2 linked regions of the Neodiprion lecontei genome follow. The protein of the gene in region 1 purifies or fractionates together with the protein of each later gene. This does not show direct contact. Links are inferred from orthologs where the notes say so. Each region holds a gene or a part of one and is shown on either strand. Other genes may lie near its edges.

What was found.
Region 2: the proteins of probable N-acetyltransferase san (region 1) and N-alpha-acetyltransferase 15, NatA auxiliary subunit purify together in Drosophila melanogaster (affinity purification with mass spectrometry, with the first as the bait; 3 studies listed by BioGRID). This does not show direct contact. The link is inferred for Neodiprion lecontei from reciprocal best matches to the Drosophila melanogaster genes san and Naa15-16.

The regions. Positions count from the first base shown.
Region 1 is NC_060265.1:27,202,194-27,209,896, reverse strand, and holds probable N-acetyltransferase san, read left to right. Parts: upstream 1-5,840; 5' UTR 5,841-6,049; coding exon 6,050-6,057; intron 6,058-6,196; coding exon 6,197-6,353; intron 6,354-6,526; coding exon 6,527-6,693; intron 6,694-6,802; coding exon 6,803-6,980; 3' UTR 6,981-7,078; downstream 7,079-7,703. Other genes in the region: tRNA pseudouridine synthase A, read right to left, coding at 1,494-1,566, 1,645-1,939, 2,169-2,549, 2,874-2,925; serine/threonine-protein kinase SIK2, read right to left, coding at 805-874, 997-1,142, 1,264-1,350. UniProt on the Drosophila melanogaster protein: N-alpha-acetyltransferase that acetylates the N-terminus of proteins that retain their initiating methionine. Has a broad substrate specificity: able to acetylate the initiator methionine of most peptides.
Region 2 is NC_060265.1:6,924,382-6,932,942, reverse strand, and holds the start of N-alpha-acetyltransferase 15, NatA auxiliary subunit, read left to right. Parts: upstream 1-4,239; 5' UTR 4,240-4,790; coding exon 4,791-4,847; intron 4,848-5,181; coding exon 5,182-5,529; intron 5,530-5,615; coding exon 5,616-5,750; intron 5,751-6,242; coding exon 6,243-6,387; intron 6,388-6,606; coding exon 6,607-6,864; intron 6,865-7,020; coding exon 7,021-7,331; intron 7,332-7,423; coding exon 7,424-7,705; intron 7,706-7,924; coding exon 7,925-8,138; intron 8,139-8,561.

The sequences.
Region 1 (7,703 bases):
TTTTACTCAACTCACCAAAGACGGTCGTTAAACTTGCCAAAAATTTGATACTAATGAACAGGATCATGTCAACGAAAATATGAAACACTGTCTCGCCCTTCGGCGTGCCTCGAAAAGCGCCGGAAATCAGGAGTTCAGCACATATATATGAAAAGCCAGTCTTCGCGAGTCAAATGGTCGTACTGAACTGAAAGGATTGGGAGAAATATTGTCCGTGACAGCGCAGAAGAGAGAAAGAAATCAGTATAAACGCAACGCACGTGGTGGTGAAATCAGTGAAGGCTGAAGAGTTATTCGAAAAAATGAATGAAAGTGCAAGTTATCACAAAATTTATGTACGACCTTTACAATTCATTTGCTGCGTTGCATCAAAATAATTCTTTTTATAATCATCAATACCGCATCTGGACAAATTTCTGAATCGTCAGTAAATCGAAAGAGAAATGGCCGCTTCTATTTTTGAAACATTACGCAATACTATGCTGAAATATAACTGAATAATTAACAAGTTCGACGACATTAATTTTGGTTTTTATTAACCTTAATTAGTTTGTGTAAATTTAAAACCATTCCAGCAAATATGGAATTGATTAATCCTTTTCGCATTATTGCTTACTTTCACATATGCTCATACTAATTTTCTCTTCAATTCAATCCGTTATTTACAATAATAATTATTAGAATGTAAAACAAGAAATGAGGAGAATACTGTATGTCAAGGATTTAATACATTATACGTGTTATTAAATCAGGGTATATTGCATCTATTATATTATAATTGATAATCAATTTGGAAGCATGACATTAACTGATAACGCTGTCTTCGCGGATATCGTAGCTATGTCTGCACAGTGTAGCCAACCATTGAAGCATCCTAGGAATCGATTAAGGAAAATCTTGGAAGTGTATGATGAAACTTCTAACTTTGACAAGAGTATAAAATGAAAGATGAATAAAAGTATAGATTGTCACTAAAAGTCATCAGATCAAGGATACGACTTTTCACTCTGCTCGCTCTCACAGATGTAGTTCAGTATGTAGTCTTCCTTGAATTTGACAATCTCATCATTGACCTCTGGCCATTCTAGAGCCTCGTGAATTCCATCCGAACTATATCGTTTGTTATATCTGTCATAATGAACCTAGTGGCGATAAATATGATTCAACTGAACAAGTAAAACAAGGCGTTTTTGCAGAAAGTAAAAATACAAATGCGGTTCCAGAATTCAAGAAATTAATGAAGATATCGTATTTTTCTCGAACCTGATCCAAAACTAATCCTAAACTAGGCGCCATCGGAATGTCTAGCTTCCCTGGTCCAAAAGCTGCATTCAAAGTTTCTTCCGATGTCTGAGTTCTGATAATGGCTATAACCAATGCAACCATTTTTCGAATTTGGTGCAACATAAAACTTTGCCCCTTGATCTTAAGAGTAACAAATTCCATATCATTGATGACGAACGGATCGCTACACGAGCAATCTATCATATATCTCATTGCAGACGGATCCAATGGTTTTCTGCGAATAAAAATTCACCATTTGTTATTCGCGCTATTAACGTAAACCTGAAAAGGAAAATTCTATAAGCTCGTTGCTCTTACACTTTTGATGTAAAATTATGGAAATTATGAGTTCCTTCATACAGTTTCAGCACCGATTGGACCTTCTCAAGTACATCTGGCTGTATCCGGTACTTGTGGAATGGTTCACCATTGATAACAGAAAGCTCCTCAATTTTTTTATCAACGTCATATTCCTCGTTTAGCACTTCCGAATCTGGCGGTTTTTTTGCAAAAGCGAAAGTTGGCATCGTGTAGATATAAGACCGAGCATCACAGCTGCTTTTACTGTTGAAACCTTTCGTTACCCTCTTTATTCCAAAAACTCTGATTTCTTCGGGCAAAAACGCATTTATATCTTCCTTCTTCCCATGCTCAGCTGTGAAAATGATCTGAATGGTGAATCAATCCTTGATATAACTTTGAATATCTCGCCTAAGTACAAAACGTCGCCTATTAGGTAATTCAAGGCCAAGTATACATGTTGAATACTGAAAGTAGTCGAAGAGTCAGATATGTTTACTTCGCAGATCGGCTAACTCACTACCACAAGCGTATCTTAAAAATTCCATGCACAGTCGTATTTGCCAAAAGTATTTTAATCTTACGTAGTTTCAGAGAGACAACCTGTCTGACTGCAGAAACACCTTTGTCTGTTCTAGCGGCTCTTTGAAACTGAATTGTCTGTATAGTTTCAAAAGCTTCATCATTTATGAGCTTTGCTTGGAGTAAAGCCTGTATCAAGTCCTCCTCTATCGTTTTCATTTGTGGATTTCTCTGCATACCGTAATAATTTTTTCCCAAATAACCCAAAAGCATTGCCACTTTTCGCTTCTTCACTCTGTCCGCATTATCCAATTTTTGTTTCTTGTTATCGCTATCCTCTGGCGGCTCTTCTATCAGCCTTTTGTTATCCAGAACTGGAACAGCGACGTTCTCATCGACAACTGGGGCCAGGGCAGAGAACATTTTCCTGCATTTAAAAGACCCTAGGGAAAAGTTGACAGGTTATGTTCAGACAATGAAGTGAAATCTCAAAGTGTGGAAAATTTGAATTACACTAAGAGAAAACACAAAACTTCTATGCAATAATGAAATATGCCTTTTATTGGAATACTGAGAGATGTAACACGCAACATGCATACGGCTATTATCGATAAACAAGTCTAACGGATTCGAAATGTTTACGATGAAGAAAAATTTATTACGATTGGTACTTCTCAGCGAATAGGCGACTAGGTTATGAGCCCTGCACTGAGGAGTCGTAATGATGGACTGAAATTAAGTATAATATGGAATAGACTAGTACTTACGGAACAAGCAAAGATTATTGACAAGTGTCTCCTTGCAAATATAGCGATACATTTGTGGACGCAGTTTCCTTATGCGCAAAATTCACCTCGTTTACACGCGAGGAAATATAGATACCTTCAAGACATGCTCAAGTAAAAAGCTGCACAACCAGCATGCACATACTTATATCCACTGTGTATATAGAGATCCACACACTGTTGAGTGATCGCCTACGCCTATGGTGTGGTGTCATGGAGTAATCACATTCTGTCAGAGAGCCAGCCTTATGGGGATTTGTGTACGACAAGAATTGAATGGTAACTTACCGACATCAACAATTATGGCAATCAGTAAGCAATCTGTAGTAGCGGTACGGCTGATGCATTCACCTAGAAGATCTAGAATCATGCGTTTTTCTTCACTTTACAATGAATTTATTATCATTTGCTTCTACAGTCTTTAGCTCTATTATTTCTGTTGACAAGAAAAAATTATACGTTTCTTAATCAACATTAAGCCGGCTTGTAAATACCGAGCCTTCGACTTTTTCTAAGAAAGCTCCACTTTCCTTAATAACCAAAAAAATACCAAGTCGACGCGCTAAAGACGCGGTCAAACTTGAGAACTTTAATTAATCTGTAAAAAAACCTTAAATATCTAGGACTTGTCGGAAATTTCTGTCGAATCCCAATCCGCATCTGCGTCTTCTCAAATCCGACACATTACGATGCGGATTGTTTATTCTCAGATGCGAATCAAGTCCGGAAGGGAGGTTGAAAGGCATGCATTATTGTGTGGCGTGACGGTCGGCGGTCCTCTTCGACGCGAAGTCTTCGAGCTCAGCATCTCTCCCCATCCAGCGTACCACGGAACGCAATAGATGATCCAGAGATGCGTTTTGCCCATTCATACGATCACAGAGGTCAATCGAATAAAGCAATGATTAGTAATGACTGAATAATTGGATCGAATATCGTTAGGTTAAAAAGCTTATAAGCTTATAAATGATTCCAAGATTTTTGTACCGCGGAGTCGTTCTTATGTTTCAGGAGGGGAATCTCTGTGTTCGTTTGACGCTGTGGATTAAAAAAGTTAGTAACATCACGATACATCGCGGCCTTCCTACCCTCGCCTGATTCCCAACGGAACCACCCAACGGAGATGTTGAAAAGAAAAACTCACACGCAAATCCACTAACACAGCGACGGATCCCAAAACGACCACCTACGTACCCGGTTACCTATATTCGATCTAAACGATCCCCCATTTTTTCCAACACACATCATTCTTCCTCATTCGCGCCGTGGTCACTGTGACTTACTTTTTCGTTGATCACCTGTAGGGAGCAAAATGTTGCTGTACTGTAGTCAGCCAGGTGCAATAAATATACTTCGTTTAAGTATTTCAATGATGCTGGAAACTATTGGTACATCAACATTTTGTAAAATTGATTAGTAACATATCCTGTATGCTCATCAGTAATTATCTAAGCGAGCTAAATCTGCAGTTGATTTGTACTTGCTGAATCGTAAAAAATTCGAAATGATTCAAGGTACGGCATGAAATTCGATTACGTTACATTATGCCAGACTTTGAAATTTCATCAATTTAACGATCATGTGAATATGATTAAACGACCGTATAATTAACCCTCTGGTGAATCCATCGCAACGGGCAAAATTTCTAAATTCAAGTAAGCTACTGCCAATTAGATTGCAAAAATAATGATTTGACTGAAAGAAAAGCACCGTTGCGATCGTGAATGAACCTATCCAGGCAAGAAATCGAAACAATTTGTGTAACAATTGTTACCGCCACGCCACGTGACAGAGGAAAACCAGGGAAATACCCGTAACCTAACACATGCAAACTCACCAACGTTGCCAAGTAATGGAGAAGTTACTCGGATGTCTCTGCTTAACTCTGGAAACGACAAAAAACAAAACTCGAGTTAATTTAGCAAACAGTGCCGACGTACATGTAAGCTGGAGATTTTCACTACTCTAATTAATTATCACTGTTGTCTATTTCCATATTTATTCACCGCATGTTATTCAAGGACAAAAATTCGGTTTCAAAGGGACTATTTTGAGTTATTAAAAAATTATCACCCTAAGTATTCTTACTTTCTCCAGGTTGCTCCATACTTTGAATGTAGTAGTTCTCGTAGTAGCTGTTCAGGTTGAATGGTAACACACTTCTAATTAGGCTGTTATAAGGAAATAGTAGAATTTTACCCACACTCATTACACACGCGACAGTTTTTACGTCACTAAAGACTGTCCGTGTCAAAAAAAAACTTTTTCTTCGTAATATTTCAGTAACTTTTGATGCACTAAGAAATGAACTACGCAACAGAATAACAAAAAACTCATCACATCGGCACAAATATTAAATATCTACGACACTATTAGACATACCTATGCATTTTGTTGTAGCGATCGTATATCACTTCTCGTACCCGAAATAAACGCGACGAAATAAAAATGGAACGTCCTGAAGTGAATAGCATCGGATGATTTTTCTATGAATTCACCGAAAATATTTCACCAATTTAGTCATACAGTTGAAGTACGTAACAGTCGAATTGCTATCGTCATTTGTTCAGCGTTAGAAAATCCGGTCGCAGGCATACTTCACTGAAACGATCCTCTTGGTGACTTTGAACTGTTTATTTGACGATCAGTTCACAATGCCAGCCTCACAAACCGGGTTAATGACAAAAAAAATCCTCACACTAAGCAGAAATTCGCACAAATTCGACATTCAGCACGCGACCGAAGCACGTTCGAACTTCTCATCTTCCCAGAATTCCGTGAGTTACCTGAAGGCAGCCGCTGCAGAATCACGCTTGTGCTAGCGGTTGAGCGGCAAAATAAAAAAAAAAAGAACATCGCAATTTTGACTGTCGGTACGTCGACATGAGGGGTGTTCTACTTTGCTGACTGATACTGCTTGTAGATATCTTCACAGGGCGTCCACTAACCCTATCCCGCCTATTCGTATCTTTACCACCTTCACCTAGCTCCGACTGCAGACGAAATTTTCGGAGGGATTCGAAGTACCGCACGAATCGCTCATTTTGATCTGAATATTATTTATTGACGACTACAGTACCTTACCTGACTAGCGTTTTCACGCATTTATTTGTAGAAATTTATTTATTTTGAGATAGGTGAATATCTATTAACGTATAATGACAAGGTGAGTAACCGTGTGTCCCAAATTTGAGGTTAGACTGCCGACCGTTGCTGCATGCTCGACGAATTGTATTTAAAAATATTTTTGCCCATTATACCTTGCAACTATATAGCAATAATTATTTTCCTTTATCAACGCACAGATCAAAGATAGAATTGGGGGATGTTACACCCCACAACATAAAGCAATTGAAACTGCTTAATCAAGTCGTATTTCCTGTCTCGTATAACGAGAAATTCTACAAAGACGTCTTGGAGGCTGGCGAGCTGGCTAAACTCGCTTACTATAATGACATTGTGGTATGTTATTTAATTCGACTCATAGATAATTATATATCCCTGACAAGCAAAATTTAGTCTCCTTTCACACATGTGGTATTCCAATCCCAGCTACACAGATTTACGTATGAAACAGTTCGGATGTCACTAGCATAAATATTTTCAAACAGTTTATCTTCAAACACTAATTTCAGGTAGGGGCTGTGTGTTGTCGTGTAGATACCTCAGAGAACTCGCGCCGTTTGTATATAATGACTTTGGGATGTTTGTACCCTTATAGACGACTGGGGATCGGCACTGTTATGGTACAACATGTACTTAATTATGTCTCTAAAGACGGGAATTTTGACTCGATATTCCTGTAAGTTATTTGAGTTACTTATTTAATTTACAAAATCTCCACACATAGTCTAAATTGAACTGAGCGCATGAAGTTCTTTTATTAACGTGTTGCTTCTGCTTTTGATCAGCCACGTACAAGTTAACAACGAGGGGGCTATTGATTTCTACAAAAAGTTCGGCTTTGAAGTTGTTGAAACGAAAAAACATTACTACAAACGTATCGAACCTGCAGACGCACATGTGTTACAAAAAACTTTGCGCCCGCCAACAACAGCTAATCATCAAAATCAATCAGCAAGTCAATGAATAAATTCTCTTCATGTATCAATCTTCCATCATCTGTTTTCATCGTATAATGTTATCTGCTGTACAAATTGTCAATAAAAATTGTTCCTTATATCCAATTTTTGTATAACCTATCGTGAAAAATTTAGCACTAGTAATAAAATGGACAGTTCTAATCAATTTCAATTCGAATTGAACCACATACAAACAGTGTCAACACTGAAAATTGAACACGATCTAGGTGTTTACTAAAAAAACTCGAACATTTATTGTTTGGTTAGTGTACAACATAGATAAATTTAGTTAGCTTCATAATTTTTCAATTACATCTGTTACAACATAGATAAAATTCAACTCTGGTAGGGAGAAATTCTTCAATTCACGTAACTTTCACCGGTTCGTAATATAAATATAGCATCGTCACGTATTTGTTACTTATCACCAATAACACATGAATTATTTCTGGAAAACTTCAATATACATTCCCAGCATAATAAGTACTTCAAAGAGATTTCACCTTGAATTATTGTGTAGCTGCTTGATCTTACATATATTTTGGAATCTCACCTGTCCTGTACGGCTTATGACCGTATTTTGGAATACAACTAAATTGACTAAATTCATGTATAGAAATAGATCGCTCATTAGAATAAATATAATACAATTCATTTAAATATTAGATGTGCAAGCCAACATGTAGTAACAATTGAATCCTGTAGTTAGCAACCAGAAGCTTATTACCTA
Region 2 (8,561 bases), about 20 Mb from region 1:
TATATTCGTAGATGTACATGTTATTCTATATTATGTACTGTCCTAAATTTTAAACACACAGTACAACAATGGCTGAAAGCACAATGGCAAGAAGAGAGGAGCAATTTGCACCTTAATAAATCTTTTCTTCTTTATACGTAGCACAGCGATGTCACGTCGGAGGATGTGTACTAGTGGATCACCACGTGGGGCACAGAACTGAAACATAATTATGTTGAAAATCTTCAAAATCTCTTACAGAAGGTAGGTACGTTGCCAGACCTTATATAACAACAATGAATATTCATAGAGGCTGTATTCATAAATACTTACAAAAGTAAGCTAATATTTTACCCGCAATTACTTATTACTGATAACTTGATATGATAATATCCCCTCCCCGCCCCTCCCCGCATACATCTACTTCTACTCTTACTCTACTCCAACTCCTACTACTACGACTACTCCTATTCCTACTCCTACTTCTACCACTTCTACTTCTACTCCTACTACTTCTACTTCTGATCCTACTCCTACTCTAATGAATATGATAAAAATGTTATACTCACAGTGTACAAGTCGTCGTCATCCTCGTCCTCCTCCTCGCCCACCTCGATCACCCGCAACCAACGCGAACTACCTCGGGTTATACCTTGAATAGTAATGAATATTTTTAGTATAAGAACACATCAAAAATATTGTTCAAGGATTAATAGAATTAATTAATTAATTAATAATATAATAAATTTTACTAGCCCATTTGAAGCTACTGAACATGTGCTTGCGCGAAAAATGAATTGAAATAATTTATTGTAAACGCGACAAGTTTGTAATATTTCAGATGAAATATAATTACAATTGCCATAAAATGTTATAAAAATGTTTTACTCACCGAGCACAAGTCCTCGTCCTCCTCCTCGTTCAACTCCGACCACTTCCAACCACCGTTAACCACCTCGGGTTATACCTGAAATAGCAATAAATATTTTCAGTATAAGAACACATCCAAAACATTACGTAAGGATTAATATAATCAGTTAAGTAATTAACAATATTATTAATTCCATTAGCGCATTCATAGCTACCGAATTTGTGCTTGCGTGAAAAATGAATTGAAATGATTTATTGTACACATGACAAGATTCAAAAAATTTCAGATAAAATATAATTACAATAGCCATTAAATATCATAGAAATGTTTTACTCACTGAGCAGAAATCCTCGTCCTCTTCCTCCTCATTCACCACATGTCTCTGAAGTCGAGTTTCATTAGGTAGTGGACTTGGAGCGCAGAAGCTACGGAGCGCTTGTCCTGGAAGTTGAGTTTCACCAGGTAGTGAACCTGAGCTCAGAAACTTCGGAGCACTTCTTCCTGAAATTGAGTTTTACTAGGTAGCGGACCTGGTGCGCAGAAACCACGGAGCGTTCGTCCTGGAAGTCGAGTTTCACCAGGTAGTGAACCTGGAGCGCAGGAACCACGCAGCGTTCGTCCTGGAAGTCGAGTTTTACTAGGTAGTGGACCTGGAGCGCACGAAATACTGAGCGCTTTTCCCTCAATCAAGTTTTCCCAGGTAGCATACCTGAAGCGCAGGACACACGGAGCGCTTGACCTGCAAGTCTAGTTCCTGCACGTGGTGGGCCTGGACAGCCAGAATTGCGGAGCACTTGTCCTGGAAGTCAAGTTCTTGCTGGTAGTGGACCTTGAGCGCAGAAACTACGAAGCGCTTTTCCTGGAAGTCGAATTTTACCAGGTAGCGGACCTGGAGCGCAGGAACCATCGGGCGCTTGTCCTGGAAGTCAAGTTTCCGCAAGTAGTGGACCTTGAGCGCAGAAAATACGTAGCGCTTTTCCTGGAAGTCGAGTTTTCAACAGGTAGCGGACCTAGAGCGTAAAAACTACGTACCGCTTGTCCTGGAACTCGAGTTATACCAGGAAGCGGACCCGGAGCGCAGGATCCAGGAGGTAGAGAACCCGGCAATGGAAATCTGCGGAGCGCGATTCTCATCCGTCCGCTCTACTGCGCGGTTGTTCCCAGACTGAGCAATTCGACTAGCTGATTTTAGATCGATGACGTCAAGAGAAAAAAAAATTTTGGGTGACGTTACTTTCTGAACATACGACATCCAAACTTTGGTTTCGAACTTTAATGCTATGTATGATATGATGACGTATGATGTGATGTATGATGATATGATAAAATGTATAATGATTTTAGTATTCGCATTTCAGACAAGAAATACGCACTCAATCTTTCCTGCCGATTCCAGACTCAAGCGGCTAGGCCCTTCGATGGTCAGCCGTTGACTAAAGATATATTCTTCAGTTAACGGGTCAGCTAACAACGCTACCGTTCTGCGGCAGTCGAATGATAAAAATGTTTGCTCCTACATTTTAAATTTGTTGAAATCCACTCGAAGTTTCATGAAGCTTCGTTCTATTTCACCCTATCAAAAAAAGAAAATCGCCGACAATCTGCACCTTTTTAGGCTTTGAATCAGGGCACTGCGTTAAATACTGTCTCATATACAGAGCATCCATTTCATTTCGATTAAAATTAGCGCATCCGTGATGTATTACAGTTACTCCGCATTTGTTTCCATACGAACACTTATCGAAAAACAATTCTGCTCCTCTATCCAACGTAGTTACTTCACTTGTGACTAGCTCAATCTAGTTTGTCTCATGAAAAATTATAAAAATTATAGTGTGCATTACGTATTAATCGTAAACGGATCATATTTATTAATATCGTACATGCACCGTGTAATGTCTTGGGGAAGTAATAATTAATAAAAGGTCGACTACTAATTGAAAATGAAAGGTTCGTCGAACTAATTCTACTAATTACTCAAGATTTATTCGAACACGAATACCGTATACAGGCTAAATAAAGACTGAGCTATCAAGTCCACGAGTTCGGATCATCAAGTGGGAAAACAATCATGCCAACTCGAATACACTACAGACCGCATGTACAGATATACTTTTTGGTCTCTGCATCATTATCACATTTGATATATTATTTATGATCTATGTATACATTTTTGTCTTGGGTACCTCTACCTTAATTAATTCACTGTTTCGCTACGAATTTTGGAAGAAATTTGTGCTCATTATTAATTTCTTGTATCGCCGACAAGCCGGTAAGTACACACAGGCTAAGTACTGGCTTAGGCTTACCATAGCGAAAACTGTGCTACTCGGAAGGCGAATGCAGCCAGCATCACGTCGAAATCGGTAACTCTCTGATGTTCTGCAATAAGTTCTCAACGCACGACGGTTTCCGGTTGTCACACCAAAGCCCCATTAGGGCAACTGTCTTTATATTTTTCAGTCAACGACCCTTACAATCTTGCAAGATGCCATTCAGGACCTAATTGTAAGGTAGGGGATTTGAAACCGAGTCCTTTCGCTCCGCAGTCACGAATACTAGCACCCAAGCCACTACATTCCGTGGTAAGACTTACCTGTTTGGATTTATAGAAAAACTTGTGGCGTATTCGAAAAATTTCGGAATCAATTTTTCACGTTCCATATCGACGTAATTCTACGATAGAAATCGATTGGTCGCAGCCCGAACATCCTGCGAGCATCGGATCAAGAGTTACAGCTAAAAAACGAGTGAGTACTCCTCGGAACTTCTCTACTATTGGTGCTACACTCCATCAGATGCATATTTTGCGTTTTTCGGCGTCCAATTAGTCAGGATAGGGTCACACAAATCGATTCTACGTCCAGTAACTTTTAAAGTCCCGCGCTCGTTTATGACTAAGTATTTTATCTAACTCGTTTACGAGTGCATCTCTCACTTTCTATGCTCTCTCTCTTTCTCTGTCTTTTCCTCTTTCGCCCATACGCCATCTCACTCTGCGAGCTTTCCAGCAACGACACAGAGCAACACAGAGCGACACAGAGCGACACTGTGTCGAACATGGTGCTTTCCAACAACGACACAGAACGACACAGTCGGACACAGCTGCGGAGCATGGTTGGACACTGTGTCGGATTCATTGCTGCCAATTTTTTTGTTAGAGATTTTATTTTCGACGCATGGTATTGTTTATATTTCTTTATTAAATGCAATGATAATCTACACGCGTTTCACAAATGTTTTTTTTTCCTGGAGCGCTCAGTGTTCCTAGATTTTTCGTATCATGCATGAGCGGACTCTAGTGACTGAATTAAGAACCTCAAAGCGTTCCAACAAGCACCAAGGCACAGTGTTCGACCGTGTAACACAGTGTCATACTGTGTCTCCTTGCTGGAAAGCTCCCCTTGTCTCACAATCAAGCCTTCTCCCCCACCTACATGCGCTGCCCTCGAATGCTACCCTACTTTTGTCATTTATATAAGGATTATTGACTTCACCTGAGGTTTATTTCTATCACGGTCAACTTCGATACAGTACAATTTAGCGTGCCCCTTTGATGCTAAGTGTCATATTTTTCACGGTGACTGAATGTAATTGTATAAAAATAAGTGAATACTGTTACGAAAATTGCCGATTGAATAGATGGTGGCGCAGTACATCAGCTGGTAAATGTTGATGAACAATACATTAATTACGGTTTTTGAAAGTGAACGGTATTCGACTATTGAAGATTCACATGTTGCCAGACTGCATATTACCTAATAACGAATAATATTTCAATAACGCGCCTCCGTGCGCTTCACGTTTCCGGCGGAACATCATTGTCGCGGATGATCACGTGATCGAAGATCGACTTCTTGGTTTGCGGCCACGAGGTTTTTGCGGTGAAAATTGAGTTTACCGGGTTGAATAGGCCCTTGATTTTTGTATTTATACAAAAATGCCATCCAGTAACCCCTTACCACCAAAAGAAAATGCCTTATTCAAGCGAATTTTGGTGAGTAACACCCTACCAAAATACTCTTGTTTTGCACCCCACTCCCCGGCTCTCCCATGCCTCGAATTCCTCCTCATGCCCTAATGATGAAGCACTCTTCGAAAACATTACAAAATCGTTTCGAATTACTGAGACACATTTACGTAATTTTATTAATTTTCACAACCCCGGAATTTCACGCATCTCTGACTCCTTAACCCCTCGACGAATCCGTACTGTAGCTTTCCGTCAGCGAATTATGCGTTTTCTACCTCATCAGTACGAATATCAAGCATGAAAATACACTTGTGCACCTATAATATCTTAGTAACCGTAAATTAAAATTGTTTTACAGAGATGCTACGAACACAAACAATACAAAAATGGCCTCAAATTTGCCAAGCAAATATTGTCCAACCCAAAGTACAGCGAACATGGCGAGACCCTGGCGATGAAGGGTCTGACATTAAACTGCCTGGGCCGCAAAGAGGAAGCTTACGATCATGTGCGACGTGGCCTGAGAAATGATCTAAGATCTCACGTCTGTTGGCATGTTTACGGTCTGCTCCAACGATCTGACAAAAAGTATGACGAAGCTATCAAGTGTTATCGCAATGCTCTCAAATGGGACAAGGATAACATCCAAATTCTCAGAGACTTGTCCCTCTTGCAAATTCAAATGCGAGATTTGGATGGATACAAGGCTAGTTTCAGTTTTTCTGTCTTCAGTATGAATAATTCAGTCAAAATCCAGTAACGGAACTAAATTTTTTCTTTATTATCTAACAGGATACGAGGTATCAGTTGTTCATGCTGCGCCCAACCCAACGCGCTTCTTGGATCGGCTTTGCGATGTCGTATCATTTACTCAAAGATTATGAAATGGCTTTAAGGATTTTGGACACGTTTCGTAATTCACAAATGGTAAGTCGAGTGTGACTAACATCTGGCATTGAATACCGTAGAGCTTGCTATAAACTAAGTAAACTGAAAAAAAATCAGGGAATTTGATTATAAATCAATCATTTAGAATATAACATATATTTATTTAAAAAACTGCTTGGCTCTCTAGTATATTTTATTTTGATAATGCTATAGATTATTATCAAATTTTTGGTGGAACAATATCCAGGTTTTGAGTCATCGTTATAATTCTTAGAAACGCAGTCTGCACAAATGTTTCTAAAATTGTATATAAAACGTAACCTCTTTCTAATATTAACGTCCAATTTTCCAACAAAACATTCAAGCCGTTAATAATTATTTAACGCAGCATTCCCAATATTTTGATATTCCAATATTATTAGCACTTCATTTTAGTCGGAGATTCAAAATTTAAATTTATTTGTTTTACATTTGGGATTATTTATCGAGTAATATTCAGATAGTACTTATGTTACTGACTGGATTTCCCAGAGTTGTTACGACTACGAGCATAGCGAACTACTGTTATACCAAAACCTGGTCATTCAAGAATCTGGGGAAAGTGAGCAGGCCTTGAAGCATTTGGATAAGTACTGTGACCAAATCTGTGACAAAATCACAGTCAAAGAAACGTATGGTGAGTCAGCATAACTTCACAACTTCGTACATTTATTCACTAAGTGTCTTATATTTCCACAAGTTAAAGTTTTATGAATTGTGTGAAAAGTTCATGGTAAACTTGTTATCATATTGACCCGACAAATTGAACAAGGTCCTCAATGCCATTGACAATTTTTATTTATTTTTTGATGGCAAATGTACACGTTTTATGAATAATGAAAATTTTTACTTTCAGGAAAACTGAGACTAGAGTTAGAACAATTTTCCGAGGCTGAACAAGTTTTTAAAGAATTGCTGAATTTAAATCCGGAAAATACGACGTATTACGCCAGGCTGGCCGAAGCTGAAAGGCATTCTTCGCCTGAAAAAACGTTGGAAATGCTTCAGCGATATCAAGATTTATTTCCCCGAGCTCTGGCACCGAGAAGATTACAATTGAACTATGCGACAGGAGAAACATTCAAAGTTTTAGTTGACCAGTACCTCAGAAAAGGTACGATGACGAATATCTACGTTTCCAAATATTGACAAACAGACAAAGCTGTACAAGTGTGCTCTACAGATAAAAATTTATCACTCACGGTCTTATCAACAGAAAAGCTATACTAAAATTCTAATATCGTTCACTGTTCTTTAAATTTTCATGCAGGCCTTCACAAAGGTGTTCCGCCACTGTTCGTAAACCTGCGATCTCTTTACAAAGATCAACACAAGGTTGACACAATAAAATCGTTGCTTCTTGAGTATGTCGAGGCTCTCAAGAATCACGGCCACTTCAGCGACAGTGATAAAGATCTGCCTCGGGAGCCAGCATCCGCCCTTTTATGGACTTACTACTACCTGGCCCAACACTATGACCATCTTGGTCTTACCGAAAAAGCTCTAAAAGAAATTGACGCTGCCATTGACCATACACCGACACTGATCGAGCTTTTTGTCACAAAAGGGCGAATTTACAAAGTTAGTTTTCCTTTCGTTTTTGCATGTATAACGCGCAAGTCACCGCCGTAATAGCCAACCATCTAATTTTATCACATTTCGTGTATTTTCAGCATGCTGGAAATGTCATGGAAGCGTACAAGTGGCTTGACGAAGCACAGGGACTAGATACTGCTGATCGTTATATAAATTCAAAATGTGCCAAATATATGCTCCGCGCAAATCTGATCAAAGAGGCAGAAGAGACATGTGGAAAGTTTACGAGGGAGGGTGTTCCGGCTATGGAAAATCTTAACGAAATGCAGTGTATGTGGTTCCAGACGGAAGCAGCAAGAGCATACCAACGACTTGGGAAGTACGGAGAAGCTTTGAAAAAGTGTCACGAAGTCGATAGGGTGAGCTTAATTATATTTTATTTCCTTTTATGCTTTCTTTTATTTCTTATCAGTCCATGTTTCAATCATTGCCAATTAAGTTGCTAAATTTTAAATCTATCCAATTTCGCAGTGTAATATGTATGCATACAGTGTATTCTTTTCAAGTTTCAAGATTCATTTCGAAGAACCTCTTAAACGTAGTATAAAGCACGTAGTAATTGGTTGATTTTTTTCCAGCATTTTTCGGAAATCATGGAGGATCAGTTTGATTTCCACACGTATTGCATGAGAAAAATGACATTGCGTTCCTATGTTGGCTTATTAAGATTAGAAGATGTTTTGCGGTCACATCCGTTTTACTTCAAAGCAGCCAAGTGCGCGATAGAAGTTTACCTGAGGTTAAACGACTATCCTCTACCGGATCCTACGCAGACGCAAGAAATCGACACTGGTGAGTTATTTTTTGATTATTCACTCAACTTAATCCCCAATAATTCATATCTACTGTTTACCGTTTCGCATACGTAATGTTTCAAACGACGTTATAAATTGGTACGACAATTCTCATTCTTTAATAACGACATATCTCATCTACTTAAAATTCAGAAGTACAAACTTTTTAGAAGGATCAGTTTAATTCTAATCCACAAATTGTATCGAAGAAATTATGGAACTCTGACAGAAATTTCTCGCAAGATATGTAGTTTGTGACTGGCATACAATATCGGAATTTTCTATATTTACTTACCACCAATCAGCTGTCGCAAACTCGAAATACATACAAAATGGACGAAGGATAGTTAACTGACACTGTAGAATCATATTTAATTGTTTGAAAAGTGAATATCTTCAACGTAGTTTTTAAAATTGATCT